7 separate regions of the Mus musculus genome follow, and regions 1, 2, 4, 5, 6 and 7 are each reported to be linked to region 3. The links are microRNA targets in miRTarBase. Many come from high-throughput screens and were not tested one by one. Region 3 holds a microRNA gene; each other region holds the end of a gene's coding sequence.

Region 1 (4,056 bases), not on the chromosome of region 3:
TTCTGTGGGCTTTTGAGCAGCATCAGGGTTGAGAGGTCCTAGGGGATCCAGAGGAGACTGAGGGACGTCTGTATAGCCCAAGTCCCCATGGCTTTGCTACTCCCTCCCCCAAGCCCAGTCAGGTCCGGTGAGGTTGGAGAACATCATGAGGAGCCCGGCAGAGGTCAGCCTGGGATTCAGAACCTGCCACAGCAATGCCTAGTTCTGCCCCGTGCTGCCTGTGTGATGGTGCTCAGCTGTGAGGCTGTGACTCAGAGGGAGGAGCTACCCTGTGCTTGGCACCTGTAACCAGCCTCTGTTTGTCTGCAGGTCATCGAGGACTGGAAATTCGTCGCAATGGTCGTCGACCGCCTGTTCCTGTGGGTGTTCGTGATTGTGTGTATTCTGGGCACCATGGGGCTCTTCCTGCCACCCCTCTTCCAGATCCACGCACCCTCCAAGGGCCTCTAGGCTACCCAGCGTGTTATGGGGCCCTGGGTTGTAGTGGGATGATATGAGCAGCCTAGTGGGCAGTTTACTGCTTCATCTGGGTTGTAGCTAATGAGACCCTAAGTAAAGCTAAGACTATTGGCAGTCAGCCTATCAATCTAGCCACGAGAAGGACAGAGATAGGTGGCTTGCACTGATCGCTCTGAATATCTTCGAGTAAGTCCCTTGAAGGAGGGGGATTAGGTGGCTGAAGTCCATTCTGGCCTCCTTCCTTCCATGTGCCAGGCACTGGAGTCAGACAGCTGTGTATCATCCCATCACACCCCAGCCCACCTTCCCATCCATCTCCCTCCAATCCAGGCTACCCACTAGATTCCCTGGCCGTCTTTCATTTCCTCTCACACTTCCAGATTCTTCCAGGTTAGAACCTTCAAATCTGCTGTAGCTACCGCCCAAACCTCAGACTCTCAATTCCCAAGCTTTTTACATGTCTGCACTAGGCAGAGATCTACTCCCATGATCCTCTGTTCCAATATGTCACTTCCTGTACAAGCCTTCCCTAGCCATGCATTCCAAAGCAGCGTCTCCCATAACCACATTAAACCTCCAGCTTTCTTGAGTGTCCTCCATTGGCAGCTGCAGTCCTTAGTTGGTGGCACACTAGTCACCAGCACCTTGCCCATTAAAGTCTATGCTCAACAAGGGTCGGAGTGTGTGAATTCACATTCACACTCCAGAGCCTGGGACAGAGCTCTGCACACAGAAGGTGCAAAATAAATGTTTGTTGAATGAATGGCTCCTGCTCTCCTTCAAACACACACACACACACACACACACACACACACACACACACACACCCTCTGAGTAGCTGTCCTTGCTCCCTTCCTGCTTTCTGCCTTTACACCATGGTTGGTTCAGGCCTGTCTCTTTCTCACACTGATCTGTTTCTCTCACGGTGCCTGCCCCACTGTTGGCACTCAAGATACTTCTGGAATTAAGGAGTGTTAGTGGCTTTTTTAAAAAAATAAATGTTGAGCCAGGTGTGGTGGTTCACGCCTTTAGTCCCAGCACTTGGGAGGCAGAGGTAGGCGGATCTCTGAGTTCGAGGCCAGCCTGGTCTACAGAGTGAGTTCCAGGACAGCCAGGGCTACACAGAGAAACCCTGTCTCATAAAAACAAACAAACAAACAAAACAATACAAAAAAAATGTTGCTGTTTTCCTTTTACCCAGCTAGCTCCCAAATAATTTTGACTGGACTATTGTATTTATTTAAGAAGCTTTAAAGGCACAACAACGAGCAGCATTATCTATTTTAATCCTCTAAACTGATCTGGCTACCTCCCAGTCAAAACCCCAGTGATACTTGCATTTTAGTACTGATCTGGCTCTCTGGGCTCCAGGTGTTTTCTTATGGCATCTCCTGGACTCTCTACCCAAAGAGAATCCCCACTCTCCTCCTGCCCCCTTCCCTGGATGGGAGGAAGTCCAGACCTAGTCTCTCCCCTGCTTAGCCATTGACCAATCAGGGAATAATTGGGGAGCAATGTTTACATAACATTGAGACTGGAAATTCTCAGAATAAGAATTACAATCAAATGTGGGGGCACAGAAATCAGCGTTTGAATAATATAAAGGTAATCTTTACACAGGGTATTATTTCATGCCTACAAGGGGAAGATTTTAAAAATTTATTATTTTATGTGTATGGATGTTTTGCCTTCATGTATGTGTGTGTACCACGTACATGCTAGTACCCCCCCCCCCAGAGGCCAGGAAAGGGCACTAGATCCCCTGGAACTGGAGTTACAGACTTGAGCCACCACGTATGTGGTGGGAATCAAACCTGAGTCTTCTGGAAGAACAGCCAATGCTCTTCTTGACTGCTGAGTCTCCAGCCCCTGAGGGAGAATATTTTAAAGTGTTTTGTTTTTAGAATTAACCTACAATAAAGTTGACTTCTTTAAAGTTTAACATTTGTATAACCATCATTGACACTAGGACAAAAGAAAGATGTCACTCAAACTTGGCTACTCTGCATAGACCCAACCCCTGCACACTTAGCCCTGGCCACCCTTACCTTTTCTTCACTGCTGTAGCTCAGTATCTTCAAGCCTGCTGCTTAAACGGAATCCTTCAGGGTGTAACCATTAGATACTGTAGATACTGGCTTCTTTATGCTGGGTCTTTTTTTTTTAAAGATTTATTTATTATATGTAAGTACATTGTAGCTGTCTTCAGACACTCCAGAAGATGGAGTCAGATCTCGTTACAGATGGTTGTGAGCCACTGTGTGGTTGCTGGGATTTGAACTCCGGACCTTTGGAAGAGCAGTCGGGTGCTCTTACCCACTGAGCCATCTCACCAGCCCATATGCTGGGTCTTTAAAAACAACTTCATTGGGTCAGCAAGATGACTCAGTGAGCGAAGGCACTTGCCTCTCAAGCCTGGAGGCCCGAATCTCATCCCTAGAATCCTTATAAAGACTCTAAGAGAGAATCAACTTCACAAAGCTGTCCTAGGGCTTCTATGTGTGTGCATGTACACATACTTCCTCTCAGGCTTCCATGTGTGTGCACGCCCCCCCCCACACACAATAAACAAAACTCTTTTTAAAATGATCACTTTTATTGAAGTATAAATTCACTCATTGTGCACTGGACAATACCATGAATTTTAGTATGTTCATCACCATGATCCAGCTTAGTACTGCTCCATCACCCTTACAAGGTCCCCAAGAACCATCAAGGAAGCCTTCATGGGCTAAGCCATCCCTGGTGGATGGCCAGAGAGGTCAAGAGACCCCAGAACACCTACCTTGTCACCGTCGATTCCTGGGACACATGGGTTTGCAGCTGGCAGTGAGACCAAGGGAAATCTATAACCGCCACAAAAGGAAATCTATGACGGTCACTATGGGAAGCCAGATCCTCTAGTTATTCCAACTTTACTTATAAAAGTATTTATTTACTCTGCTGGGAATCGCAGCCTGGACCTTAGGTGTGCTAGACAAGCACTCTACTGCTGAGCTATAACCATCAGCATTTGTCTGTTTTCTCAAGGAGCATCTCTAGCATAGTCTAAAGAAAGTAGCGAAAATAATATAAAACCTCCCAGATATCATCACCCTTGCGTCCACCATGGGGAACTCCTTGCCAATATTGTTTCCATCCCAAGCCATCGAGTCCCTCTTAACTGTATGCTGTGTACACACACACACACACACACACACACACACACACAGCATCGTGCTGAAAATAGTTACTTTAAGAGCATAAACTTCCACGGTCCACTTTTGAGTTACACTAGAGCTGGCACATGTGATAGGCCCCCAGCCCTCCTCAGAGCTGTACCTGCCAGAAAGCCAGGGCCAGAAATTTGACCCTTTCTTCCTGCCATGGTGACAATGCCTGATCCCGACTGGTCTGTAGCCTAGAGGTTTCAAGAGTCCAGGGAGGCTCTGGGCGAGGCATCGAGGCATCGACGCAGAAGACCGTGGCCCGACGCCCCTCCCACGACGGACGCAGCTCCTGCCTTGGCCTCCCAGCCTCCCCGCCCTGCGGCTGCTAGCAGCGCTTGCCTGCCTGGGGTTCGTGCACTCGGGCGCGCAAGTGCGCGGGAGCTCGGCG
Region 2 (4,065 bases), not on the chromosome of region 3:
GGCACCAGAGGATCCACACGGGAGAAAAACCTTATCTATGTAAGGAGTGTGGCAAAGCCTTCAGCCAGAAGTCAAATCTCATTGCTCATGAAAAAATTCACTCTGGAGAGAAACCCTACGAGTGTAATGAGTGTGGGAAAGCCTTCAGCCAGAAGCAAAACTTCATCACCCATCAGAAAGTTCATACGGGAGAGAAACCTTACGATTGTAATAAATGTGGGAAAGCCTTTTCCCAGATCGCTTCCCTCACGCTTCATCTGCGAAGTCACACGGGAGAAAAGCCTTACGAGTGTGAGAAGTGTGGGAAGGCCTTCTCCCAGTGCTCACTACTCAACTTACACATGAGAAGCCACACAGGGGAGAAGCCGTACGTGTGTAACGAGTGCGGAAAAGCCTTCTCTCAAAGAACGTCCCTCATCGTGCATATGAGAGGCCATACCGGCGAGAAGCCCTATGAATGTAACAAGTGTGGGAAAGCTTTCTCCCAGAGTTCCTCCCTCACTATCCACATCCGGGGTCACACGGGCGAGAAGCCCTTCGACTGCAGCAACTGTGGGAAAGCCTTCTCTCAGATCTCTTCTCTTACGCTTCACATGAGGAAACACACAGGCGAGAAGCCCTATGTCTGTATTGAGTGTGGAAAAGCTTTCAGCCAAAAGTCACACCTTGTCAGACACCAGAGAATCCACACTCACTAGAGACGCCGTGACCACGGTGAATGTGAGGACTGCCTCCCATTGAAGTGAACACCTCATAGCACGCGACACAATCAGTTCTGGCGCTGACTGTAGGAGAGCCTTGGGAAGGTCCCATGCATCTGTTAGACAATTCCCACTTCGGGGACCAATTGTATGAGAAACTGTCACCAAACACCCAGTGATATCAGTATTCTCTTTCAAGTCTGAAAGAAAATATCTACTGTCAATCAACGAACTCGAGCTCCTTGCTGATGTATTAAGCAAGAGAAGGAGATTGGAAAAACCAAAAACAATAACTTTTATAGGCAATATGAGACTATGGGGAAGTAGGTTTTGAATGATAATGTATGTGTCGGGAAGAAAGTCTAAGGTAATTAGGTGACATGCGTACGAAGTTACAAAACGTGCTGACGAATGCAAAAGACCACTTGATAAAGCAAGTTAGAAAGTTATAAAAGTTCACGAACCCTTCCCAGTCTCTCCCTTGTCCATACTTCCACTCAAAATTTACACATCAGTTATAAAGGATTTCATGAACTGATTTCAGAGTAATACGGCAAGGGAAAGGACCACAAATAGCAAAAACAAAAAATACAGCAAAAAACAAAACAACAACAAAAAACAGTTTTTAACAAAACAACTAGGGAAGATGTTCACTCTCTACTAGATTATAATTATTTAAAGTTTTTCTTATTTAAACTCTTTTGAGTGAATAAACTTTTGGAAACAAATTGAAACCCAAGACTTGGCAATTTTCTATCTGCCTGGTGCTACTGAAATCATTGGAATAAGTCTAGCCTGTTCAATATGTGTACAGGTTATGTGACCAAACTTGTTACTTCTTAAACAAAGATATACAGATTCCCTCAGGCTGGTGAGACGGCCCCACTGATAGGGGTTTGCTGCCAAGCTTCACAGCTGACTACGATACCCAGAATCCACATGGTGGGTGGAAAGAACCAACTTCTACACTTGTCCTCTGACCTCCAATGGCACGCCATGGTATGCATGTACACACACACACACACACACACACACACACACACACACTCAAAATAGGAAAGGTAAAATTCTAAAATGCTGGAAATAAAGTGAAACATGTTGCTTTAGCGTAAGAATATTAAAAAAAATAATAAACCCTGCAAACATGGAATAGTCTATTTTCTTTTAGTGTACTGGACTCAGAAGTATCCATGTATGTCTGCAAAGATCTATCTATAAATGTTCCCAGATTTGTGGCTTGGTTTGCTCTAAGTGATATGTAACATTATCATTAATGCAGAGGTGGATCAATATGTTTATTTCTATGATAGGACACTATTCTTTATTTAAAAGATACAAAATTCACATGTAGTTACATGGCTGGATCATGATATTTTGAGAGGAAACCCCAAAATATTCAATTAACCATGGTATAATATTTGTAAGTTAATAAAACAGTTCAAAGAACAGTAGTGGATATTGCTCGTGGTCCATTTATGATATTAGTCGCCTTTGAAGCTTTAGGAAGCTTTTCTAGAAGTTGTTACATTGACCTGTAATACTTCAGTAAGAGAATAAAAGCAGATATTACAGTGCTAACCAGTCTGCTCATCAAATTAGATCTGACGCTTTAAAGGTCCTGTATTTAGTTGCCTGTTTTTACTAGAGTAAGTCAAATATGGGTGTCGAAATCATGGGCTATTAGAATCCATTTTTAGCACGTGTTATTTTATATTTAATCCTCTTTACACAAGCCTGATTTTAAGATGTTTTGTTTTTACTCAGTTATGGTTGGATCTGGGATGTTTCCCCCAAAGAAGGTCCCCAAAACAACAATGTTCAGAACTGATCTGGTCACGAGGGTTCTGACCTCGTCAAAGCTGAATCTACTTACGGATTCCTAGCGGATACCAAAAGGTGGGAGCTGGGGGAGGGGATGCCCACGCAGGCCACCCGAGCGTGCCTTCAAAGTAAGAAGTTTCTTCCTCACTTCAGTTGATTTTTTTTTTTTTTTTGTAGACATTCTTGTCATAGTACCAGAAAGCTGTCTGTCTCACTCGTCAGAACCTTTATCGGGATAATGCCAACCAACAGCATAAACCATTTGAGGCTAGTTCAAAAAAAAAAAATTGAAGCATTTATCTTCAACATAGCTCCTTTCCCAGTTGAAAGTAGTAGAAAAACAAAAGGCAATACTTGTTGGAATAATTGACTCTCAATTTAAAATGTAAGGTCCCGTTGCGTTTGGGCTGCAGTCGAAGAGAAAGAAGAAAAGGAACTGTGCACACGGTCTCTCAAGCCAGGGGCCAGCGTGAGCACCAGAGCGCTGGTGGATCTCAGCAGAGCTTTTTGAGTGTCTAGCTCGATTCCTTGTTTTCTTTTTAAATTATTGTGTGTGGGGGTGGTGGGGGTGGTGATGGTTTTGTGGATTGTGTTGAAACACCTCTGTAGACCAGGCTGGGCTCAGACTCATGGCCTCTAACCTTCTGAGTGCTGGGTTTGCAGGCATGTGCTGCCATAATACCAGTTTCTGGATTTTTAAACAGAAAGGCGTGTCTTGGCGATTTCTGTGCCAGGTGAAGGCCAGGTACAGGTAAAAAGCTCGCTTCTAGCTGTTGGCATGAGTTTTGCATGGGTCCTATAGGAAGAAGGCTGGGTATTCAAACCTGCACTGTAATTCAGGCACTGCAGGATTAAGACTCTGGCTTCGGTTTTCATATACTTCAGCTCTGCAGCTATTCGTTTTTCAAAGCAGACACAGAAATGCCCGTGACATCAGCACTGTGCTGAGCCAGCAACCTGAAGCCCTGAGGTCATGCTTTCTTCCCTGCTTTGTCCAGCACTTTATCAGTCTTTCTCACGATATTCTACTCACAGGCTTGAGTAAAACGGGCTAAGATGTTAGATACATGGTTACCCAGAATCTTGCCTTAGAACAAGTCAGAACAGCCTTAATTAGGAATTCCAATGGTGCTACTTGCATGTCCTCTGACACATCATTCCATGGGCTCCCCATGTCCTCTGTGTCACTGGAAATGGTCATAGTGCCTTTAAAGTACACCACACCAGAGACTTAAGAAAGCTTTCAAATGCTGTTCTCCTGGCCATTCTTTTTTTTTTTTTTTTTAAAGATTTATTTATTATTATATCTAAATACACTATAGCTGTCTCTTCAGACACACCAGAAGAGGGCGTCAGATCTTATTAAAGATGGTTGTGAGCCACCATGTGGTTGCTGAGATTTGAACTCATGACCTTTGGAAGAGCAGTCAGTGCTCTTACCCGCTGAGTCATCTCTCTAGCCCCTCTCTAGGCCATTCTTGTTCCCAGAGTATCAGTCAGGATTCTCCAATAGGACACTCATCCATATATGTATGCTACATGT
Region 3 (4,065 bases):
CCCAGCAGAGGGAGCACAGTTAGCTAAAGCACGCATCGTTAACATAATGACTGGCTACATAGCACACACTATTCAGCTGCCATCCTTTCTCCATACCATAAAGGCATAGCTCGACCACATCAGAAAGCAAAAGCCACACAAGGCAGACAGCAACAGCTGAAAACCTGAGGAATTATTTGCCTGTCAGAAAGAATGTTATGTTTGGGAATCTGTGTGGAATTCTTTCTCTGGCTTCAAGATCACAGATCTGCAAGTGTGAGAGGCAAGTAAAACAAAAAAACGAGTTCTAGACCACCGAAGCGACAGCCTTTCATTTGGGTGACCAACAGTGAATCTCTTGAGCATCAGGACAAATTCTAAACAATGAAAATCCCCCCACGCAACCCCCCAAAAAACAATAACAACAACTTAGCATTTTAGAAGCAAAAGGTCTCATTCGTGTGGATTTTCATTAAAGAGTAAAAGAAAAGATCTAAAGCCACAGGAAACTGGAAAGACAAATCAATGGGGGAAATAAGCTCCTGGTGGTCAGGGTGAAGGTGCGTCCCAGCAACGCTGACTGAGCTTTTGCAAAGACAATGTTTGTGTGCTCTGCGTCCTAGTGGCCAGATGTCTTAGCCAATGGTGATGGGAACTGACTAGACCAATCCAGCAGGGCCAATCCAGAGGAGAGACTTGGCAGGAGACTTTGTGTTTTAAGGTGGCTCCTCCAGTGTGAATTTAGGGAAAATATTCAAAGGATCTGTGGCCACTCTCAGATGTTTGCTTTAAAGGGGGCACTTGTGGGGCTAGCAGGATGGCTCAGAATTAAAAGCACACACTGTTCCTACAGAAGACACTAATCTGGTTCCTAGCACCAGTATGATAGCTCAGCCCATCTGTAAATCTAGATAGACTGAGACTGACTCCCACCCACAGTCACCTAGCACACAAATGATGCACAGACATGTATGCAGGTAAAACAGCCATACACATGAAATAAAAATAAATACATCACATTAAAGGGAAAAAAGGGAGAGGAGAGAGAGAGAGAGAGAGGAGGGATGGTTGTCTCAAAAGAATTAAGACCATACTTAAACCACCCTTTACCTGTTTCCTAAGCTTATTCTGTCTTTCATTCTTTTCTGTTAATTGTATCGGGTGAGGGGCTAATGAGAGCTAGCTGTTACTAGCTGAGTGTGCTCTGCTGTCGTTTGGATGGGGTTTTCCCCATTGCAGCTCTGAGCAGAGCACCTGGTAGGCTCCTCGTCATATTTGCCCTAGCCAAGCAAGCCAGGAGCTCAAGGAAACACCTCTTAAGTGTTTCCCAGTTTGGAGGTTGCACACACATCCCATGTTTGGCTGCTATTATAGGCCAGAAGTTCCTAACACAGTTTGACTAAAATACATCCACTCTTTTCATTTGATGTAGATCTAACCTAACTTGTGCAAAAAATACTTATGCAAAGATACACAGTGATGGCAAATGAAATGCTTCTGTTGTTGTAGTTCTTCTTGTGCTCCTGCAGTACCAAATCTCGGCCACGAGCCACTTGTGAAATTCTGCCTTCTTCATTTCTAACCCTGTGAATAATGTCATTCATCCTGGAATGGAGTGATGGGTTACGGAAGGACAGATCAGCGTGACCTCTCTAGTGACTACAAGCCACTACAATTGTCCTCAGAGATGCCCGAGGTCCTCTGAGTCTCTGGAGCCCTTTTTATATATTAATACAATGACATCAAATGCTATTTTCGCTCTTGCCCCACAGTTGTACAGTGGAGTTTCCCAGAGGCTGCATGCCACAAGATGATGTCATCACTGCGGCTAATGGACATTGTGTTATGCATTAGTAATATTGTGCTTTAAAAAGTCCTTATTGTATTTAATGAAATCACATTTATTGGCACTATAATAAATGCTGGTAGACAATCCATCCAAACATACGGTTCTTGCACTCTTCAGTAGTATTAAGAATATAAAGCACACCTATAAGGCAGCTCAGAGGGTAAGGGTGCTTGCTGCCAAGCCTGACAACCTGAGATCAGTCTCTGGGCACTACTGGGTAAAGGAGAAAATTGACTCCTACGAGTTGTCCTATTATCTCCAGAGATGAGATATGGCATGCATGGGTACGTATGTGTGTGTGTGCACATATACTACACACACATACACACACACACACACACACACACACACACACTAAAGAGAAGGTAATAAGAATATAAAGGAGATTTTTAAAACTGTTTCAGGAGTAGAGGGGTCTTCCTAAGGTAGACTTTAGATAAATATGGTAGTGACTGCCTGTAATCTCAACACCCAGGATGTTAAGACAGGAGGACTGAGTTCAAGACCAGGCTAGACTAGAGACCCCTGTTTCAAGCATGGGAAGGAGTTAAAAATAAAGAATTTCACTAAATTCCTTCAGTTTTCTGCATGAAAATTTCTCAGCTCTTTTTTTTTTGCTCCACCCCACTGTTAAGCACTCTCTTGTGATATATACATTTAATACTTCAATAAAGTTTTATTTGCACCTATTGCAAACCCCACCTTACCCCCCAGATAGTAGTAAAGTCTACTAGTAGTATACCCATGTGGACTCAGCTGAGTAGAATCCAGATGCCACATTCTTCAGAAGGGTTTTCACAGCCCAGAGCAAAAAGTATCCAATTGTCTATTTTCTTCAAGGAATATACCGAGGCTTTCTGAAGCATTTATACTACCTAGTCACTTCGGATCCTACTCTGTTTCTCCAAATATGAATTTCATGTCAGCTTAAACCTAACATGGCTCTCAAACGCCAGTTTTCACCCACTACTTCCACTCATTAACATACTTGTGGTGAGCACCTAATAAAAAGAGAAATGGCAAACTCTAGTCACAAATATAAAACACAAAGCAAACTCGAGAAAAGTTTTTGTATATTTTTACAACTCGGGGAATTTTTCCTCACCCAAATCTAATTACCGGGAGCCTAGGAAGGAAAGTTCACATCATAATGTATGATGAGAAGCGTTTCCTCTAATTATACAAACATGATACAAATAGTTCTGTGCAAAGTGCTTCACTGGATAAATATTAGCATGCCATTATCATCGTTCACTGACTAATCTGGGCACTGGCACTTCTCTGCAGACTTCGTAAAAAACAAGGGAAGAGGAAACGAGGTCATGAGTGAGTCCTGCTGCACACAGGAGCACCCTATGTATCTCCATCTCAACTCTCTAATCAGATGAGAAGCATGCATGCTGCCCATGGCTTCTCGATGAAGATACTGATGCTCAGAAGAGGTCGGTACTTTGTTCAAGACTGAAAGAGAAAACTGAAGCTGGAGCCCATCCCATGCCTGTCTCTGTCTACTCTGGTGCCCGCTTTCCAGCAATCTTTTTTCTTAAGAACCCTCACCCGAGGAAGCATGTTCCAATACCAGTTGACCCAGAAATCAGAGTTGTGAAGGCTTCTTCTGGCGCTGTTTTGCAGCACTTGTGTGTTTTCAACAGGCATTCTTAGTGGACCAACAGAACAAACGATACTGCAGTTAGCAGTTGGCAGAGCACTGTGACAAATGATACACTCTTAAAAGAAATTAGAGAGCAGAATCTACAGTTAACATTGCTTTGTCTCGAGACCAGCTCCCCTGTACACCATTCTGATATGCAAAAGCCAAGCTGTGTATAATGTCCCTTGTATGTATATTTCCAGGGCTGTCCATTTGGTATTGGATAAGCAATTTCTCCTGTTCTCCGCATTTTGTAGGTCTTTGTGTAGGATGGAGGGCTTTCCACTGCCTACTTCAGCATGTCTAGTGTTGCCCTTGTTCAGCTCATGTTTAGATGTTATGGATATAGTTTCTAACTGAATAGGTTGTATTTATGTTTTTAGAGATATACCTACCTACCTACATACATACATACATTCCTAATATGTGTGTATGTGTGTAACAATAAATAATGATAAAAGAGGCGATGAGTTTGAAAGAGCACAAGGCATTGTGGGAGGGTTTGGAGGGAGGAAGGGGATAATGATGTAATTATATTATAATCTCAAAAAGAGGGTAATTTTTTTGAAATGCTTATATATATATA
Region 4 (4,065 bases), not on the chromosome of region 3:
CCTGGGATGTTTATAAGAGACAGCGCGCAGGATGGGAGCTTAACCCAGCCCTCCTTTACTCCCTGATGTCCTCTCCCCCTCCCGATCCTCCATCCCACAGGCCATTTACAAGATGGTTTCGTCCGTGATGAAAATGCCCGAGGATGAGTCGACCCCGGAAAAGAGGACTGAGAAAATCTTCCGCCAAATGGACACAAACAATGACGGTGAGTGGCGGGGGGGGGGGGGGGGGAGATTGGGGGGGAGTGATAGGGGTGGAGGAGGGTGGGCAGCCTTCCTCCTTCCCTCTCCTGAGCCACCTGCCTGGCTTCGCAGCCACCTTCTCCTCATTTACAGCCCTCCCTTTGCCCTGCAGGCAAGCTGTCGCTGGAGGAGTTCATCCGCGGAGCCAAAAGCGACCCATCCATCGTGCGCCTGCTGCAGTGTGATCCCAGCAGCGCCTCCCAGTTCTGAGCTGAGAGGAGCCAGCTCGCCTCCCTGCCTTCACCGGCCCTCCGGCTCTCAGCTTCCTCTCCCTCGTGTCTATCCAGGCTGGGGGCCAGACTGGGGATCCCTTTCTGGGGTCTGCACTGTGTGTGTGTGTGGGCCTCTGGAGAAGTGAAACCTGCAAGGAAGGGGCTAAGCAAGACAGCTGTTAGTCTCCACGGCCCAAGAGGCAGAATCTCCCTTAGTGGGACCGAGATAGCCCTCCGGTCAGGTTCTGTATTCTTTAGTGAGACAGCTGGATCATCTTACACCCACCCACAGTCAGGAGGATCTTCCACAACACGGGGGCAGGGGGGCGGGTAGGTCCCCTTTGGGTGGTCCTCAGCCTGGAGGGAGGTGGGGAGTCATGCCAAGGTGAAGAGTCTTTTTGTTTGGTGGGGAGCCACGGATGATTTCTGGGCTGTGGGGCTTTGAAGAAGTTCCCTGATCTACTTCCCTGCAGAAGAACACTTCTTGTCCCAGCTCTTGCTGGCTGGAGGCCATGGTAAAACAAAACAAAACTCCCAGGATTCCAACTGGGGGTCCCCAAACTCAACCTGCCTCTTTGCACTTAGATAACCACAGATTTACCCCGTCTGTACTCTGTATTTCACCTCTCTCTCTCGTGCACTCACGCAAACACACACACACACACACACACACACACACACACACACACACACACAGAGGCCCACAGACAGATGGGCAGAGCCCCTCCACAGCATTCTGTGTGGGAAGGAAGCGCAGGCCCCCGGCCAAGCCCCATGTCCCTCTGCATGCAGCCACACGGAGCATCTTGGTTCTTTTTAATAACTTCAAAATAAAGTCTTGTTTCAGTGCATTGTACTCGGTGGCCAGGGGAGGGCGCTCAAAGCCCTCTCCCACGTCCCCAGTAGTCCATTGACTTTTCATGGGCGTGCTCTAGGAATCCTGGATCCCACTAAACTTCCATGGCTGGTTGGGCACGGGTCAATACAGGTGTGGTCACGTGCCTCAGTAGCCATGGCGCTGCTGAAGTGTCAGAGGGTCAGCTGCAAGAACTGGCGCAGCTCAATAGGTCATGAGCATCCAGGGGCTCTGGGCTTGCTTGTATCTGCAGACACAGGAACTTGGTTGTTTCCCTCTGCCTGGGGTCTCTATCTTCAGGACACCCTCAAATTGGAAGAAGGAAGGGCTTCTGGGGCACAGGGGAGGACAGCACTATCAGTCATTCATGACAGGCCAGAACCCACTCCTCCCCCAACTGTCTCCTGTATAATCCCCAAAGACCAGTGCTTCTCCTCAAGATTAGGAGAGCCAGACATCAGCTGTGTGACTTAGCTGGCACATCCGGCCTCTCTGGACTTTGGAGCCCTTTGGTAGTGCTGAGAAAACTTTTGCTCCAGTTATGTGAGGCCCTGTTCAGAAGGGGTGAGGCTGACCATCCAGGGGCCTCCCAGGACTATGGGGGGTGGGGGTGGTGACTTACCGTGTGGTGGCAGCTCTTCCCCCACCAGGGCCTTAGTTCCAGTAGTCCATGCATGAGCTGGGCGCAGCGCACGGCAGACATACTCTCCGCCAGACAGAATATGAGAGAGATGGCCCAGAGGCACAGGCTAGAGCTCTGAGGGGTCCAGGGGCAAAAGCATCTAATTAGGGAAAGGGGTACAGGTAGACCCAAGAGTCCTTCCCAACCCTTTCCAGGACGAGGCACTCACATAAATTCGAGTAGGGTCAAAAGGACAGTCAGGTGCCAGTGTTGGGAGTTCAGGGTTCTCAAAAGTACAGGCCGCCAATAGTGCTCTACCCTTGGTGGCGAAGGTCACTGCAATGGAGGCCAGGAGTCCAAGGGCACAGGTCAGAGAGAGAAGAGCACAGGCCACACTCAAGCTAAACACGGTCCAGCGCTAGGCAGAAAGAGCACTGGTCAGTGGATATCACTCTTGGCCCCAAGAGGGCTGCTGGCCCAGCCCACAGTCCCATCAGAGGAAATGCCACATACCAAGGGGGTGCTGGGGAGGTAGCGTGACAAGACGATGGTCGAAATTCCTGCAACAATGACCTGTGGGGAGGCTGGAATCAGCTGGGATCAGCCGGTGCTGGAGGGCAGCTCGTGGGGTCACATCCCCCCAACGTCTTCCACGGTTCTGCAGTCTCCACTCCCACCCTGGCCTCTGGCTTTGGCCTCATAAACTCCCACTCCCTACGGCCTTCCAGGGCTCCGCACTGCCTAAAGCTGTTGAGTCCGACAGGGTCCTGTGTGTCCTAAGTTTTCGGGCATAAGCCCGGGAGTGTGCTAGGCCCCAGGACCCACAGCATATCTCCTTAGGATGGAAAAGACTGGAAGAAATGCATTCTACTAACAAGGTACTAAAACCAAAATGATATAAATCAGAAACCAGGCATGGTGGCAAATGCCTACACTCCCAGCACTGAGGCAGGTGGATTGCTGCAAGTTTAAAGCCAGCCTGGTTTACATAAAAGGTTCTTTTCCAGCCAGGACTATGTAGTGAGGCCCCATCTTAGACAGACAGGACACATCATAAGCAGAATTCAGAATCTTTAAGAGGTGGCCAAGGATGGGGCTTGGGAGTAGAATAGTTGCCTGGCATGTGTGAAGCCGGGGTTCAATCCTAAGTACCACAAAAAACAAAGAGACCTCTAAGAGCATCAAATTATCCCAGGCTCTTAACGACCTAATCCTGGCCTTCTCTGGTCTGTCCTGGACCACTGTCTTCCCTCATTTCACTGGACCTCATGCACACTCGCAGATTATCCTTTCCAAGGCGCCCTGCTCCTCAGTCCTAATGCCCCTACATCCCCAGAGACAGGATTTCCTGCACACTATTCAGCTCAGTGGCTGACCTCTAGATCCCTAGGGCTCCATTTAGCCTATCCGCCTTCCTAGTGTCGATCTCTGTAGTGGACACAGTACCACTGGGGGTATAGTGGTAGTGTTAATTTACTCTGCAGCCACAAGAAATTACCTCAACTTCTCAGGGCTGAGCCCCTCTCTGTAGGATGCGCTCACAGGAAGATAACCACATCCAAGGGAGTGGAGTGATTCCCCCAGTCATGGGCAGCTGGGAGTGTTTTACTGGGGAAAGGTGAAGTGTTCCAGCCCCAGAGCCCTCTGACCCTGGGCTGGCCACCTTCCATGCCCTCCTCAAATGGCTGTTGAGCAAAACAGATACTGATTGGCACATAGCCCTGCATTCTTCCTGCCGTTGGAACTTCCACAGATCAGAGCCTGGTTCACCAGGCCTGGAGGCCACCAGGCTGTCAGAGGCAGAGACCAGCTCAGAGAGAGAAAAGTCCCTCTGTCAGGAGTCAGCAGGTCTCCCAGAGATGAACAAGTCTACAACCACCTTAGCTGACCGGCAGAGAAGAGCTTTTGTACACCTAAGTACACCAGACTCTTTCATTTATTCATTCATCAAACAAAGATGTCCCAGTATCACAATGACTACGGCTTATATCAAGTGGCTCATGTAGTCTGCCCTAGTGCTAAACTCCTGTCTGACTGTTTGAGTCAGTGTCTTCAGCACAGATCTCAGCCGTTCCCAGCTCCACACATCTGCACCTGCCACACAGCCTGTACATGGAATGCCACCCTGGCAT
Region 5 (4,065 bases), not on the chromosome of region 3:
CCTGAGCAGAAACGCACAACCTCTGCTGTTGGCCCTTGAAGGGTGTCCCTCTGGTGTCTGGCATTCAGCACCCTAGCAAAAAGGTCACCTGCTGCTGCTGAGCCCCTTTGTGGGGCTTCTCAGATGCCAGACCCACTAGATGACTCTCAGGAGCTCCATGGAGACCTGGCGGAAAGGCTCCTTCCGCAATGCCTCCTTTTTCAAGCGAATCACCCTGGGGCGGCCACGGAGACTGCATCGACAGGGCAGCATACTTAGCCAGGCCAGCACTGCTGGTGGTGACCATGAGGAGTACAGCAACCGGGAAGTCATCCGAGAACTGCAAGGGAGGCCAGACGGCCGGCGTCTGCCCTTGTGGGGGGATGAGCATCCCCGAGCCACCCTACTGGCCCCACCCAAGCCCCCACGCCTCTACCGAGAGAGCTCCAGCTGCCCCAACATTCTGGAGCCCCCAGCAAGCTACACAGCTGGCTACTCGGCCACCCTGCCTTCAGCAATCTCCCTGACAGGGCCGCTTCACCAGTGCTCAGAGGAGGCCCTTTCGGACACTCCCCACTTCCCGAGGACACCTACTCCGGACCTCAGTGACCCTTTCCTCTCCTTCAAAGTGGACCTGGGGCTTTCACTTCTGGAAGAAGTTCTGCAGATTCTAAAGGAGCAATTCCCAAGCGAGCCCCACTTCTGACCTGGTGAGAGTAGCGAGAACTGGGGTGACTGGAGGAATGGCGCCTGTGGACCCAGGCGAGGAAGGTACAATGTGGACTAAAGAACAGGTGGGGACCAGAAGCCACAGTTCTCCCTGCCCTCTGGCTGCTGACCAATCCTTCAAGTCGCCCAAAGTGAAGGGGCAAAAGCCAGCTGGGAATGTATGGGAGTCACTTTCTGGCAGGAGTCCTGAAGGAAGCTGGAGAGACCAGGAAAAGGAAACTCCAACCTGCAACCACGGAACCAGTCAGAGGTCAGTGGAGAGACAGGCAGGCACAGGGGCGAGCCAGGAAATAGGACTCAGCCTGGGCAGAGCAGCCTCTAAAGACCACGTCACAGAAACAGAAAGTCACAGGCCAGTCTAGGAAGACATAGTCTAACTGAGATGAAAGGGAAGTGGGGAGGTCAGAGAGGCAGGACTAGACAAGTCACCACTTACGGCGCAGGACTGTTTAATGAAGGAAAAGCAAACTGAGAAGTCAGCTCCAGAGGCTGAGGAATGGCTCAGTGGATACAGTGCTTGCTATGCAAGCAGGAGGGCCTGAGATTAGACCTCCAGTACCCGAGTATAAAAGGCAGGCAGGGATGCTAGCCCATCTGGAATGCTGGTGCTCAGGTTGGAGAAGCTAGGGATCCCAGGGGCAGCTGCCTGGTTAGGTTGCCAAATCGGCACAGTCCAGGCCCAGCAAGAGAGCCTGCCTCAGAAAATAAAACACCGAGAACAATTGAGAAAGACATCTGAAATCAACCTGTGACCTCCACTTCACACACACAGACACACACACACACACACACACACACACACACACACAGACTCACAGACACACAGACACACCATCCAGACACAAACACAAAGAAAATTTCAGTTATTTTTCATCCTAGCAAATTTTTATTTGTTTGTTTTTGAGATGAGGTCTCATATGTAGTGAGGGTGGCCTTGAACTTCTTATCCTCCCACCTCCACCTCCGGAGCCTGGGATTACTCATGTGTGTGTGTGATCAAACCCAGGTTTTTTTTTATGAGACACTGGGGATCAAATCCAGGGTTTCATGTATGCTAAGCAAGTACTCTACCTAAATGAGCCACATGCCAGCCCTCTAGCCACATTTTAAAGATGTTTTCAAAAATTATTCTTAATTGTGTGTGTGTGTGCACACAAACAAGTATATACAGGTACATGCAGAGGGCAAAGGTGTTGGATGCCCCTGGAGCTAGAGTTACAGGCAGTTGTGAGCCACCTGATGTGGGTGCTAGGAATTGAACTCAGGGCCTCTAGAAGAGCAGTATGTGTTCTTAATTGCTGAGCCATCTCCCCAGCCCACTTAGGCACATTTTAAATCAACAGCCACATCTGACTGACGGCTACTGTACTGGATGACAGAGCATAAACACCGACACTGTTAGACCAAAGTCCACTGGATGGCGCTGGCCAGACACAGTATGTAACCATCAGAAGCTTGGGCAAGGAAGGAAAGTTGCCAGCTCTGGGCTGCAGGTGCAGGAGGGGCTGACAGCAGGAGAGGTAGACAGAGGAAAATGCAGGGGAAAGGCCTAACATCATTAGCAAACACAGCATGAGACTCAAGCTTCCCACAGATCTGTAAGCAAGTACTCTAGGAAGAAGCTCCTGGAACCAGCAGCTGCAAAGGAGTGCTCTGGGAACTTCCACAGGCATTGTATGTGGAACCTCTGGGAAAGGCTGCAGGAACAGTACAGGGATAACCAGATCAGAAAGGACAATGCACCACCAAGAGGCTCCAGGATCCTCCACCAGGCCCAAGACAGGGCAAGGCTACAAACTGTGCTACTCCCTGCCCTGTGGCTGGGTCAGATCTGAATCCAGAGCCCAGAAGCACTGGACCATGTGGGTCTGGCCTCCAGGTCACTCAAGTGTGAAAGAAGGGTAAAGGAAGCTGTGACACACACTGCCTGATAAATCCACATCTGTGACATCTCTCTTTCCTGTTCCTGTGCAGAGGTACTCAGCTTCAAGCCTCCTCTGGAAACAGGAGGCAACCAATAAAGGTTTTTCTAATATGACCTACAGAGTATGGTCTTGGATGTGAAATGCTGAAACTTTCTAGTGGGGAATGAGGCTTCTTTTAAGCTAGGATCTTGTAGTGAGAACCTTGGTTTCTTTTTAAAAAGCACAGAAATCTGACTATGCTTTCACTTTAACCCCCGTGTGGCATGGGGCTGTCCACAGCTGACTATGCAGCTTGTCTCTAGCAGGGGCGTGGTTGTGCCAGCTGCAGATGGTTTCTGCAACTGTGTCACACTTGGAATTCTGGGGCCTTTTTAGAGAATATATAGTATATATTCTGGGCCCCGAGAGGCACGGTGGTTAAGTAGTCTTGCGCAAAGAACAAACATTAAGGAAAAGAAATGTGCTATCCTGACTGATGAAGTCTCTTGGGGCCCCTAGTCAGGGATCTCTTTCCTTTCCTCTCTTCCCTCTTTTTCTCCATCTACTGTTAGAGGGTTGAAAGGGTGGGAGAAAAGGCTGGGGAAGGATGGAAGAAAGAACCCACAGAGTAGCAAAGGCAGCTACAGGATCCTGGGCTGACCTCTACATCATTCATGTTCCTCCTCCATCAGGACCTGGGACACTGAATGACAATGGCCACCATAGACTCAGATGTTTGAATGCCTGGTCCCCAGTTGGTGGAACTGTTTGGGAAGAATTAGCAGGTGGAGCCTTGTGAGAGGAGGCATGTCACTGAGGTCAGGCTCTGAAGTTTCAGTTAGCTCTCTCCTTGCCCTGTGGTTATTTCAGCATGTAAGCTCTCAGCCACTATTCTAGTGTCCTGCCTACCTGCCTGCTGCCATGCTCCCTACAGTAATGGTCATGGACTCTACAACCTCTTGGAACCATAACCCCCCTAATTAAAGGCTTTCTAAGTTGCCTTGGTCCTGGTGACCAAACTGTCACAGCAATAGAAAAGTAGCCAAGACTGACACACTCCCCCAAAGGCTCCAATCTCTCAGGCAGGCATCCTGATAACTCTCTGAGAAGCTGTGGACACGTGGACAGGTACGCAGGCGGTTTCAGAGAAGGGGAAAGCTCCTGCCCCCAAAGCAACCGTCCCTCCAACAGGAGCGAAAGGCATCCATGCTCTAACCTCTGCAGTCAGGCTAAAAAACTGGACCAAGGAGGGCGGAATGAACAAGTCATGGTGTTCTAGGGACTGCGAGGCTGCCCCAGGCCCACTGTCGCTAGAAAGCTAGCACTTCACAAGTGGGGTTCCAGATACAGCACCCCAGGTTCAACATGGGACTTGATGTTATTTCCTAGAGTCAGTTTGTGAGTGGGAAGTTGGAGACAAAGCTGGAAAACAGTTCTGGGAAAACCATTGCTC
Region 6 (4,057 bases), not on the chromosome of region 3:
ACAGTCTCCAATTTTTTTTTTTCTGTCCCTTGAGGAATTCGGACAACATGGAGTCGCTTTCTTTCCCTAAGTATTCCAGACATAGGCATGCTTTGCATAAGTAAACCAGCCTTGAAATTTTTAAATCCCCAAGACATGCACCTACACATTAAAAAAAAAAAAGTTCAGAAAAATAAAAATAAAAAAGACAGGTGGCCCTGTCACACACAGTCTCATGACAGAGAAAGAGAAAGAGAAAAGAGACAGAGATAAGAGATAGAGGACGCCCTATTCCTATCAGCGACCACCATTCAATTCTATCCAATGAAGATAACTTTTTTTTTAATGTGTAATACCTACAAATCAATACTCTCACATAGCCTGTATATAAGTGACAAGCAAAAAAGGAAAGTAACAAAAGTTTTCTTTTCTTTCTCTTTTTTAGGTTTATGAGGTCTGCATTGTTACCAAGAAGTGATATGGTTTGCAGCTGTATGACTTTTGGTATCCTGGTTCTTTTGTGCCCATTTGGTTTGACTAGACCAGTTTTTGTTAGCTACTGGTGCAATATACATGCTGTCAGAGGTAGAGTGAAACTTTTTGCCACTGAGGAGAATGTAGCAAAACAGGAGGAGAGGAAGAGGAGGAGGAAGAGGGGAAGGAGGAAGAGGAATTAGAGATAGAGCTCAGAGTTAGGGATTTTTTTTTTTTTTGTATTGGTTTTCACTCAGGGTGCCCTGAATTAAAAAGTAATGAGACGGACTGTACTAATCCTTACTTTACACACTAGTGTTCAGAATAACAGTGCTGTTCCACGTACATCACAGCTTCTTGAGATCGAGACGTGAGGGTATGACATACCTCATTTTTGGGATTATTTAACCCTTCGTAGCCTAGAACATAGAATAGCTCTAAGAAAGGACTGTCCAGTGTCACAAGCAGACTAGAAAGCAGAATGAGGTCAAAGGATTCTGGGAGCACCATGGTAAGATAGAACCCATTCAGAGCCTGCTTATGTGCTTCTCGTTGCCTTTAGCAGGTGTGCTGGCAGATGGACTTCCAACATGCAGATAGATATAGATGCATTTATTTGCTCATCAGAACTTCCTAAATTAAAAGGCCATTGAAAAGAAAAAAGAAAAAAAAAAAAAAAAAAAAAAGAAAGAAAGAACACAACACCACCGGAACAAAATCAAAACCGACTGGTATATGAAAATATGGGGGAAATGGTTTAAGAAAAATCTTAGATTTTCGAGACATAAAGCAAACCCAGGAGGATTGCCTCTATGCAGATAACTTAAATACAACCACTTAAAACTGTATCCAAGGGCTACATTACCCGCTCCCCTCCCCCTCCCGCAAGCTAATGGATTGTACTCAATTTGTAAAGAAATGCCTGGTGTATGGGTATGTGGAGAAGTGTCTTCCCAGCCTTGTCAACTTTGGTTGTCTACACAGCCTGCAGCACTGCCGACTCTTAAAGCACACAACCACATCCTGGGCTAATGTGTTTCAAAACTAACCAGTAGTTCTGGTCTGGACCCTGGACAACGAAGGGTTAATGGATTCACACTGAACATGTTCAACCTGCTGATCATTTGGAAAGTACCACTGGTGCTTTTCAAAGTTCCGATTTTGGTCCCTCAGATCAGTCTTTGGCTGATTTCCCTTTTGTAAGAACACTGTATTACCTGGCACTCAGCAGGGTTAAAGCTGTTCGTCTACACCTCAGCATTTGGAGCTCTAATGATTTTTTTCATTTTTTTTTTGTAAAATTAGAAATACTTAAACAACCTTACAGCAATATGCATGCACTGTCCTTTTTTTTTTTAAAGTAGGATATCTTATTTTATTTTTTTTAAAAAAGTCCCTAATAATTTCTTTTCATAAAAAAAGGATAAAAGAAAGAAAAATTCCACTACTACTCTATGCTACAGCTAAAATTGGTGAAATGGCTCTAGCATATTTAAAAAGTTGGTTTGAAAAAAAGAAAGCATGCCTAGGGAGTCATTGTGACAGTGCAAAATACATTTATGTACATCCCTCTTAAAACATCCATGTGCTAGCATTCCATGAAGCATGCTGGTTTCCAGGAAAAAAAATCCTATAAGAGAGTGAGTTAGCAGCTCCAAAAGATAGCTTTTTCTTTTCTTTTCTTTTCTTCTTTTCTTTTCTTGAGGACAACCAAAAAAGTTTTTTTTTTCTTTTTTTTTTTTTTTAACTACTAGAGAAATATCACTAATACATACAGATATAAAAGCAGCATAGAAAGATACAGGTTTCTCACCAACTAGGAATAAAGAGACTAAATGTGGGCATATGGGTAAACTACAACGCATCTTCACATTTGTCCAACACATTTACAAGAAAAACACCATTGGGAAAACCTCACAGGACAGAAGTGTTTTAATACCAAGAGAACTACTAGATTTTAATTAAAAATCCAAACAGGGTGGGGTTGAAAAATTTTGGAAAGGGGCTGGAGCTGAAGCCACCATTTTTTTTTAAATTAGTTTTCAATATAAAATGAATGAGCTGGAATAGACCCAATGTCTTAGTCTGTGGAACCTTGCAAAAGTGAAGAAATGTTGAAGGGTTATTTAGGGCAGCTGGCTGACTTGGAAGCTGCCAGAATGCTAATTAACTGCAGGCTGAGTCTCTTAAGTGTGTGTGTGTGTGTGTGTGTGTGTGTGTGTGTGTGTGTGTGACTATATATATAAAAAGGAGCCTTTGTATTATGGCATTTTTTTTTCTTGCTGCTGTAGTCATACACCGCACTGGAAATCATCTTTCATTTTTCATTCTGTTGACCTGGATATTATTATTTCTTTTTCAGAAACAGGAAAAAAAGGACCATCTGTGTCTCCTTCCAATCTGCTGCACATCTGCGCGTTTTGCAGCGGGTCTTCAAAGTTCAGTTAGCAACCCACAGACGCCATTCATCTTCTTGTTAAAATGTCTACTTCTGTATCCACCGCTCATGCCCTTGAGGAATTGCCTCTTTTTTTTTTTTCCATTATTGTATATAAAGAACACTGTGACTTTTAATATTAGCATTTTTGCTTTCAACAGCAATTAGCAATCTCTTGGTTTGCTGTTTGGTAAAGCACTGGTTAATGAGGTCATCTAGTTTAAAATCCCAGCTACTTGGAAATAACAGGGAGGAGGTCAAATCTAGCATTTCACGTTATATTCTTTCCTCTCTTTTCAGTTCTCTAAAGAAAAGATATCTTTGTTATCCACAGTAAGTCATTACGACCCGTTACTGGCCTCTGTGTTCTACTATCGCCTCAAAGATACAGTTAGGTTCTCTCTTGCCGAAGTACTGAAATAAGATAGATAGTTCATCTATAAACAAACAAACAGAAAAGGGACTTTGAGCATCTGAGGATGAGGAATTGCTTTCGTGTTGGTTGTGGTGTCTTTCCTCTGACAGTCTGAGTTTAGGTCTAGCGAGGCGTCGTCTCTATGGTAGAGGGGGTTCCCGGGGTGGTAGACCTCGGAGTGGCTGCTGGTGGTGTGTCCATTGGGCTCCCAGCCCCACTGCTGGGTGTGACTGAGGAGCTGACAGCGGGCGTGTCTCCCTGCTGTGGGGCCTGCAGGGTCTGTCCACAGATGTGGTGATGCTTCTCCCAGTCTTTATGCTGGCAAAAAGAGCCACAGTATCGGGCCGTGTTACAGCCGCTGCACGTCTCACTTGCTTTCCGGCCACAGTTCCAGCAACTCTGAAGGAGAAGGAGAGATCCCAGGTGAATATTCATGAAGGTAAACATCTAGTAAACAGGGAAGGCATCACTGCTCCCACATCTCCAAGAGCTACAGAGACAAAATGGACGATTCAGAAGACCCTGGCTGAACTTCCAGTCGCACCACAGCCCCACCCTCTCCCTACCTCTCCAACCTGCTGCCCTTCTCCCTGTCAACGCCCCCATCCCGCAATACAGGAGTGTGAGACGTTGCTGTGTTCCTCTCCAAAGGGTCATAGCTCAGGCAAGCCACCCTGATGAGACGATGCTGGGACATAAAGCGCTGCCCTGCCCTGGGTGGGCTACCTGGTTCCTACCAAGGTCTTTGGCTG
Region 7 (4,065 bases), not on the chromosome of region 3:
CTCAGCTTCCCCTGGGCTGACACCCTCCTTAAGTAACTGTAAACTCCCTTAGACCCTCCTTAAGTAACTGTAAACTATCTTAGACTTGTGATCAGTCATTTTAAAGTATCAGATCCCCTCCCCCAACTTTTATTCTATAGGCTGTGGTTTTAGGACCCAGAGAAAAATCCCCAACTAGATTAAGGCAGTAGATACTGTGTGCAGGAAGCTCACAGGAAGAGCCCACAGCTGGCTTTCCTTGTCTCACCAGGTTCCCAGGGACTCGAAGGTAGGGGTCAGGCTTCATTCAGTGCAGGTAGCATGTGTCCAGTGTCAGGCTCCATTTGTAGATACTGTTGGCAGGTGAGTAGACACACTCCAATTCTCTCCTACATCTCCATGCAGAGTGACCCCGAGTTTGCACAGTGGCTGAAGGAGCTGACCTGCACCTTCAATGAGGCCCAGAGACTGCTGCGCCGTGCCCCCAAATTCCTCAACAAACCACGGGCCGCCATCCTGGAGTTCTCCAAGCCACCACTGTGTCACAGAAATAGCAGCGGCCTCTGAACCACAGAGCAGCGGGGCCTGAAGGAGGGGCCCCAGCTCTTCAGCCCAGGAGTGGAACGAAGCCACGGGGAACCGTGTGGGGCTAAGACACAGTGTTTCTGAGCACTGACGGGGCTGCTCCAAGCCGAGGAGGCTCAGGACACCAGGGCGGCCTTCTGGGAGCTGGGACATCCTCGGGGCTGTCCTATCCACACTCGAAATTACTGAAGAAGCAGAGGCATTCTGCTGTGCAACTCTCTCACTTTGGTATCCAGGGACCCAGAACGTAAAATGGTCCTTACTTCTCAAGCTTTTATGTCTGGCAGGGAGCATATCTGGGGTGGAAGCACGGTCTCTGGGACTATGGTGGCCTGTTCTAGGCATTGCTGTGTCCGAGTGCCTGCCTGAGGTGTAGGGGTTGAGGCTCCAGACACTGGAGGAGGGTCTCTGTAGGTCAGGGCTGACTCCTTGCTGTCCCTGAGGCGATGAGGTAACCCTGAGTATCGTGTGCACTTCCTTCCTCTGATGACTTCTTTCCAGGGATGCCCCTCGAGGAAACTTCGCGGCATCCATCACAGCCATTTCTGGTGGGCACAGACTTCAAGCAGGACCTAGGTAACCCACCAGACAGTGCCCCCAATGCATGGCGTGCATAAACTTGGAGTCACCATCAATGGTTAGGTATGACAGAGTCCTCCTGATCCCCCAGTTTGACCTGGGGAGCATCTGAGGATGTGCCCAAGATAGACAAGAGTTGCTGCCTTGTCTTTCAGTATAGCTTATAATGATCTCACACTGGTGGGTGACAGTGTCCAGCGGTCGGTCCCCTATGCGCCCTGGCATGCCCCATACCCTCTGTCACTAATGCACTGTGCGCTGAGTTATTCTGATGGGGGCAGCAGTTTGCCCAGCCCCCTTCCCCTTAAAAGTGGGTTTCTCTGCTGCTGCCTGGCCCCATGTCACACAATGAGAAGTCCTGCAAGGTCTCGGTGGACTTGTCCAATTCCTGAGGCCTTGGGGGCGGGGGCAGTATGGTAGTGTTACTGGGTCTCTAGATGAAGTCCCGAGCACATAACCTGACAGCAGAATTCTTTGTGTTCTGTCCTGGATCTTCCTGACAGTCCCCAGTGTGTATTATGTTCTTGTGCTGGGGAAAATGAGGTGTTTATTTATTGATATCTATGGGGTTTTTTTTTTAATTGCAACTACCTTTTGAGAATTTGGAAGATAATTTACTGAGAGGGTCCATTACTCGGCAGGTGCATGAGGGACCTGTGAGACTCAGGGCCTGTCTCACCGCACATGAATTCTGGGTTCATGATCACGCACAGGGCCGCTGTTCACTGCCTCCAGGGTGGGAATGTGGCGTCACCTGGCAGGGACACCCTGCTTGCTTAAAAGACTAATATTCAGATTCTTCTACTTCTACTACTACTACTACTACTACTACTACTACTACTACTACTACTACTACTACACACACACACACTTAAGCGTTGTGGTTACTGTGTAGGCATGGTTAGTATGGACAGCTCACACATGCTCAGTCAGACCTGCAGGGAGGGGTAGGAGCTGTATCTCTGGTCTCTTTAGCACATATAGAGACCTCCCCCCACCCCTTCCACATTGGGAGGGAACTTGACCCCAGCAGGTGCTGGGCTAGCTGTAACAGTCTCTTATCGGGGTTATAGCTATACCAAAGTCTTTCAAGATGGCACAGGATCATGGGATCCTGCACCTGCACTAAATCACGCCAGACTGGCACAAATATCATGTGTTATTATTGGCCAAGTTAATTTTAAGGCCCCTTTCCTTTTAGAAAAAGAAGTGTGTGTGGGTGTGTGTATGGTGGGGTCTCCTGCCCTCAACCCCATTTCCCTCGGGGACAGGAATGAGAGAGAGTGCAGATGGCCTCTGGCATAGTCCTAAAGATTCATATATGGGCTGGTGGTGGATCTGCTAGCGCCATCTCAAAGGCCATCTTTCCACCCTGGCATGTGGCTAGGGTGTGTCCTGGATCCATAGGGTGGGAGGAGGAGCCAGATGGGTTTATGATACATGGCTGTTTGAGAGTTCCCATCATGCAGGCAAGTCCCTAGATGCCTCTTGTACTCAGACTGTTAACAGGGCGAGTCATGAGTACTAGTGACCTGGGTTTCTGGCCTGGATCACTTATCATGATGGAGGATGTTCCACTTATTGCTGTTTTTACACAGCTATACTCTACATAGGCGTGGTTTCATAAGGCAAGAATCAATGCACAAAGTCCAAGAATATCAGATAATTTTAGAGCCACTATGTGACACACACCAAATTAAAACCTTTGGCAAGCCCCAGTTTGTTTATTATTTATTTTAATCTAAACTACCCTCTTGTCCTTAGGGCTCCCTGCTTTTCCTCTGGGTCATAATTAAATGTGTGGGTTTTTTGTTTTTGTTTTTGTTTTTTGTTTTTGTTTTTAAACAAAGCCTGTGGAAATTGTCACACTGTAGTGGTTGACAGAGGAACCTGTCTTGCTACTGATACTCAAGTGTGCACATTGAAAGGCCCATTGGCTGACATTACAAACTGTCCATGTAAAACCAGCAATGAAGGATGGATGGTGACCTACAGGGGAAAGACACTGCAGGTTCACAAGCCCAGCCTTGATTGGCAGAGGCAGGAGGCTTATGAGTTTGAGGCTAGCCTGGCCTACATGGCAAGTCTCTGCCTCCAGAACACCAAGGGCTATGGCAGTAGCTCTGGGCCAAGGTCTTGCCTTACATCTCCAAGATTCTGGGTTTAATTCCCAGAGGGTGTGGACAGCGGGCAGCAGACTGTTAGCCAACTAATAAGATTTATCTCTAGTGGCCGCCTTGACCTTGGCTATGTGTCTGTGAGAAGCAGCTGTTCTGAGGCCCCACTAGCCAGGATTGTTCACCAGTGGTCAGTGTGACAGAGAGGCAGAGCAACTCGGTACAGGAACTCACCGTTTCAGTGGTAGGGTAAGGACAGAGGGAGAAGGCTTGGTTGGCTGATGGAAGCCACACACTTGGCATGATGACCCACCAAGGAGGGAATGAGGGGAGCTCAAGGGACACGCCCTCAGAATCCCCCAAGGATTTTTGCAAGACTTGCTTCGTTCCTGAGGCCGAGTTGCCCCGTCATGAAGGTGCCGCCACGTGTTCTTCTATGGACATTCCCAGGAAGGTCCCTCATCAGTGGTACATCCCCGGACACTGAGTCTGTCACCTGAGACTGTGGCTGTGTCGCCCAGGCAGTGTGAGGCTGTGACCTAGTCACTGTCCATGAATGGGCTGTGGAGGGGTGCGTGTCCAACTTAGATGTGGTGAACCTCAGAATGGCATCACCGCCTTCCTACATGTTTGATTCCACTTCTACTTGGAACTTCCATAATTTAAATTTAAAAAAAAAAATCGTTTCTCTTCCTAAGTGAGGTTTACTCGAAAGTCTCAATTGCTCACATTCATGTTAATAGGACCTCTTGCTTTAACTTCATTGGTTGGTTCAAGGCCTCTTTTCCTTTATTTGTTGCTATGG

Evidence for each region. The annotated mature microRNA mmu-miR-466i-5p reads UGUGUGUGUGUGUGUGUGUG and lies in region 3 at 2,159-2,178, opposite strand. An mRNA with a match to its seed (bases 2 to 7 or 8) in the 3' UTR can be bound and repressed. Matches are read on the target gene's strand: a 7mer-m8 pairs with bases 2 to 8, a 7mer-A1 pairs with bases 2 to 7 and ends in A, and an 8mer does both.
Region 1: miRTarBase lists Chrnb4 as a target of mmu-miR-466i-5p. Seed matches in the 3' UTR shown: 7mer-A1 at 1,243-1,249, 8mer at 1,244-1,251, 8mer at 1,246-1,253, 8mer at 1,248-1,255, 8mer at 1,250-1,257, 8mer at 1,252-1,259 and 14 more.
Region 2: the mRNA of Zfp74 is a reported target of mmu-miR-466i-5p. Seed matches in the 3' UTR shown: 7mer-A1 at 1,711-1,717, 8mer at 1,712-1,719, 8mer at 1,714-1,721, 8mer at 1,716-1,723, 8mer at 1,718-1,725, 8mer at 1,720-1,727 and 11 more.
Region 4: the mRNA of Hpca is a reported target of mmu-miR-466i-5p. Seed matches in the 3' UTR shown: 7mer-A1 at 1,105-1,111, 8mer at 1,106-1,113, 8mer at 1,108-1,115, 8mer at 1,110-1,117, 8mer at 1,112-1,119, 8mer at 1,114-1,121 and 15 more.
Region 5: miRTarBase lists Gm14137 as a target of mmu-miR-466i-5p. Seed matches in the 3' UTR shown: 8mer at 1,470-1,477, 8mer at 1,472-1,479, 7mer-A1 at 1,481-1,487, 8mer at 1,482-1,489, 8mer at 1,484-1,491, 8mer at 1,486-1,493 and 15 more.
Region 6: miRTarBase lists Runx1t1 as a target of mmu-miR-466i-5p. Seed matches in the 3' UTR shown: 8mer at 2,679-2,686, 8mer at 2,677-2,684, 8mer at 2,675-2,682, 8mer at 2,673-2,680, 8mer at 2,671-2,678, 8mer at 2,669-2,676 and 13 more.
Region 7: the mRNA of Grk3 is a reported target of mmu-miR-466i-5p. Seed matches in the 3' UTR shown: 7mer-A1 at 2,001-2,007, 8mer at 2,002-2,009, 8mer at 2,004-2,011, 8mer at 2,006-2,013, 7mer-m8 at 2,008-2,014, 7mer-A1 at 2,828-2,834 and 2 more.

What each region holds. Positions count from the first base shown.
Region 1 is chr9:55,026,499-55,030,554 of GRCm38, reverse strand. Chrnb4 (cholinergic receptor, nicotinic, beta polypeptide 4) reads left to right here. Exons shown (of 6, transcript NM_148944.4): 6 at 310-2,399. The coding sequence ends at 450. Chrna3 (cholinergic receptor, nicotinic, alpha polypeptide 3) reads left to right here and starts at 3,993. Exons shown (of 6, transcript NM_145129.3): 1 at 3,993-4,056.
Region 2 is chr7:29,930,875-29,934,939 of GRCm38, reverse strand. Zfp74 (zinc finger protein 74) reads left to right here. Exons shown (of 6, transcript NM_178384.4): 6 at 1-2,149. The coding sequence ends at 698. Among named protein-coding and RNA genes, the nearest start is that of C230062I16Rik, 19 kb to the left of the region's middle.
Region 3 is chr3:28,418,057-28,422,121 of GRCm38, reverse strand. It overlaps Mir466q (microRNA 466q), which reads right to left and starts at 2,179; the gene lies at 2,104-2,179. All of the region lies in intron 2 of Tnik (TRAF2 and NCK interacting kinase), which reads right to left.
Region 4 is chr4:129,108,816-129,112,880 of GRCm38, reverse strand. It overlaps Hpca (hippocalcin), which reads left to right. Exons shown (of 4, transcript NM_010471.4): 3 at 101-206; 4 at 356-1,311. The coding sequence ends at 453. Tmem54 (transmembrane protein 54) reads right to left here. Exons shown (of 6, transcript NM_025452.4): 3 at 2,447-2,506; 4 at 2,163-2,351; 5 at 1,934-2,068; 6 at 1,255-1,558. The coding sequence ends at 1,493. Among named protein-coding and RNA genes, the nearest start is that of Tmem54, 5.3 kb to the right of the region's middle.
Region 5 is chr2:119,174,823-119,178,887 of GRCm38, forward strand. It overlaps Gm14137 (predicted gene 14137), which reads left to right. Exons shown (of 1, transcript NM_001039223.4): 1 at 1-2,746. The coding sequence starts at 158. The coding sequence ends at 685. All of the region lies in intron 10 of Dnajc17 (DnaJ heat shock protein family (Hsp40) member C17), which reads right to left. Among named protein-coding and RNA genes, the nearest start is that of Gm14137, 2.3 kb to the left of the region's middle.
Region 6 is chr4:13,889,259-13,893,315 of GRCm38, reverse strand. Runx1t1 (RUNX1 translocation partner 1) reads right to left here. Exons shown (of 11, transcript NM_009822.3): 11 at 1-3,704. The coding sequence ends at 3,429. Among named protein-coding and RNA genes, the nearest start is that of Gm11823, 100 kb to the left of the region's middle.
Region 7 is chr5:112,911,394-112,915,458 of GRCm38, reverse strand. Grk3 (G protein-coupled receptor kinase 3) reads left to right here. Exons shown (of 21, transcript NM_177078.4): 21 at 385-4,065. The coding sequence ends at 546. Among named protein-coding and RNA genes, the nearest start is that of Myo18b, 17 kb to the right of the region's middle.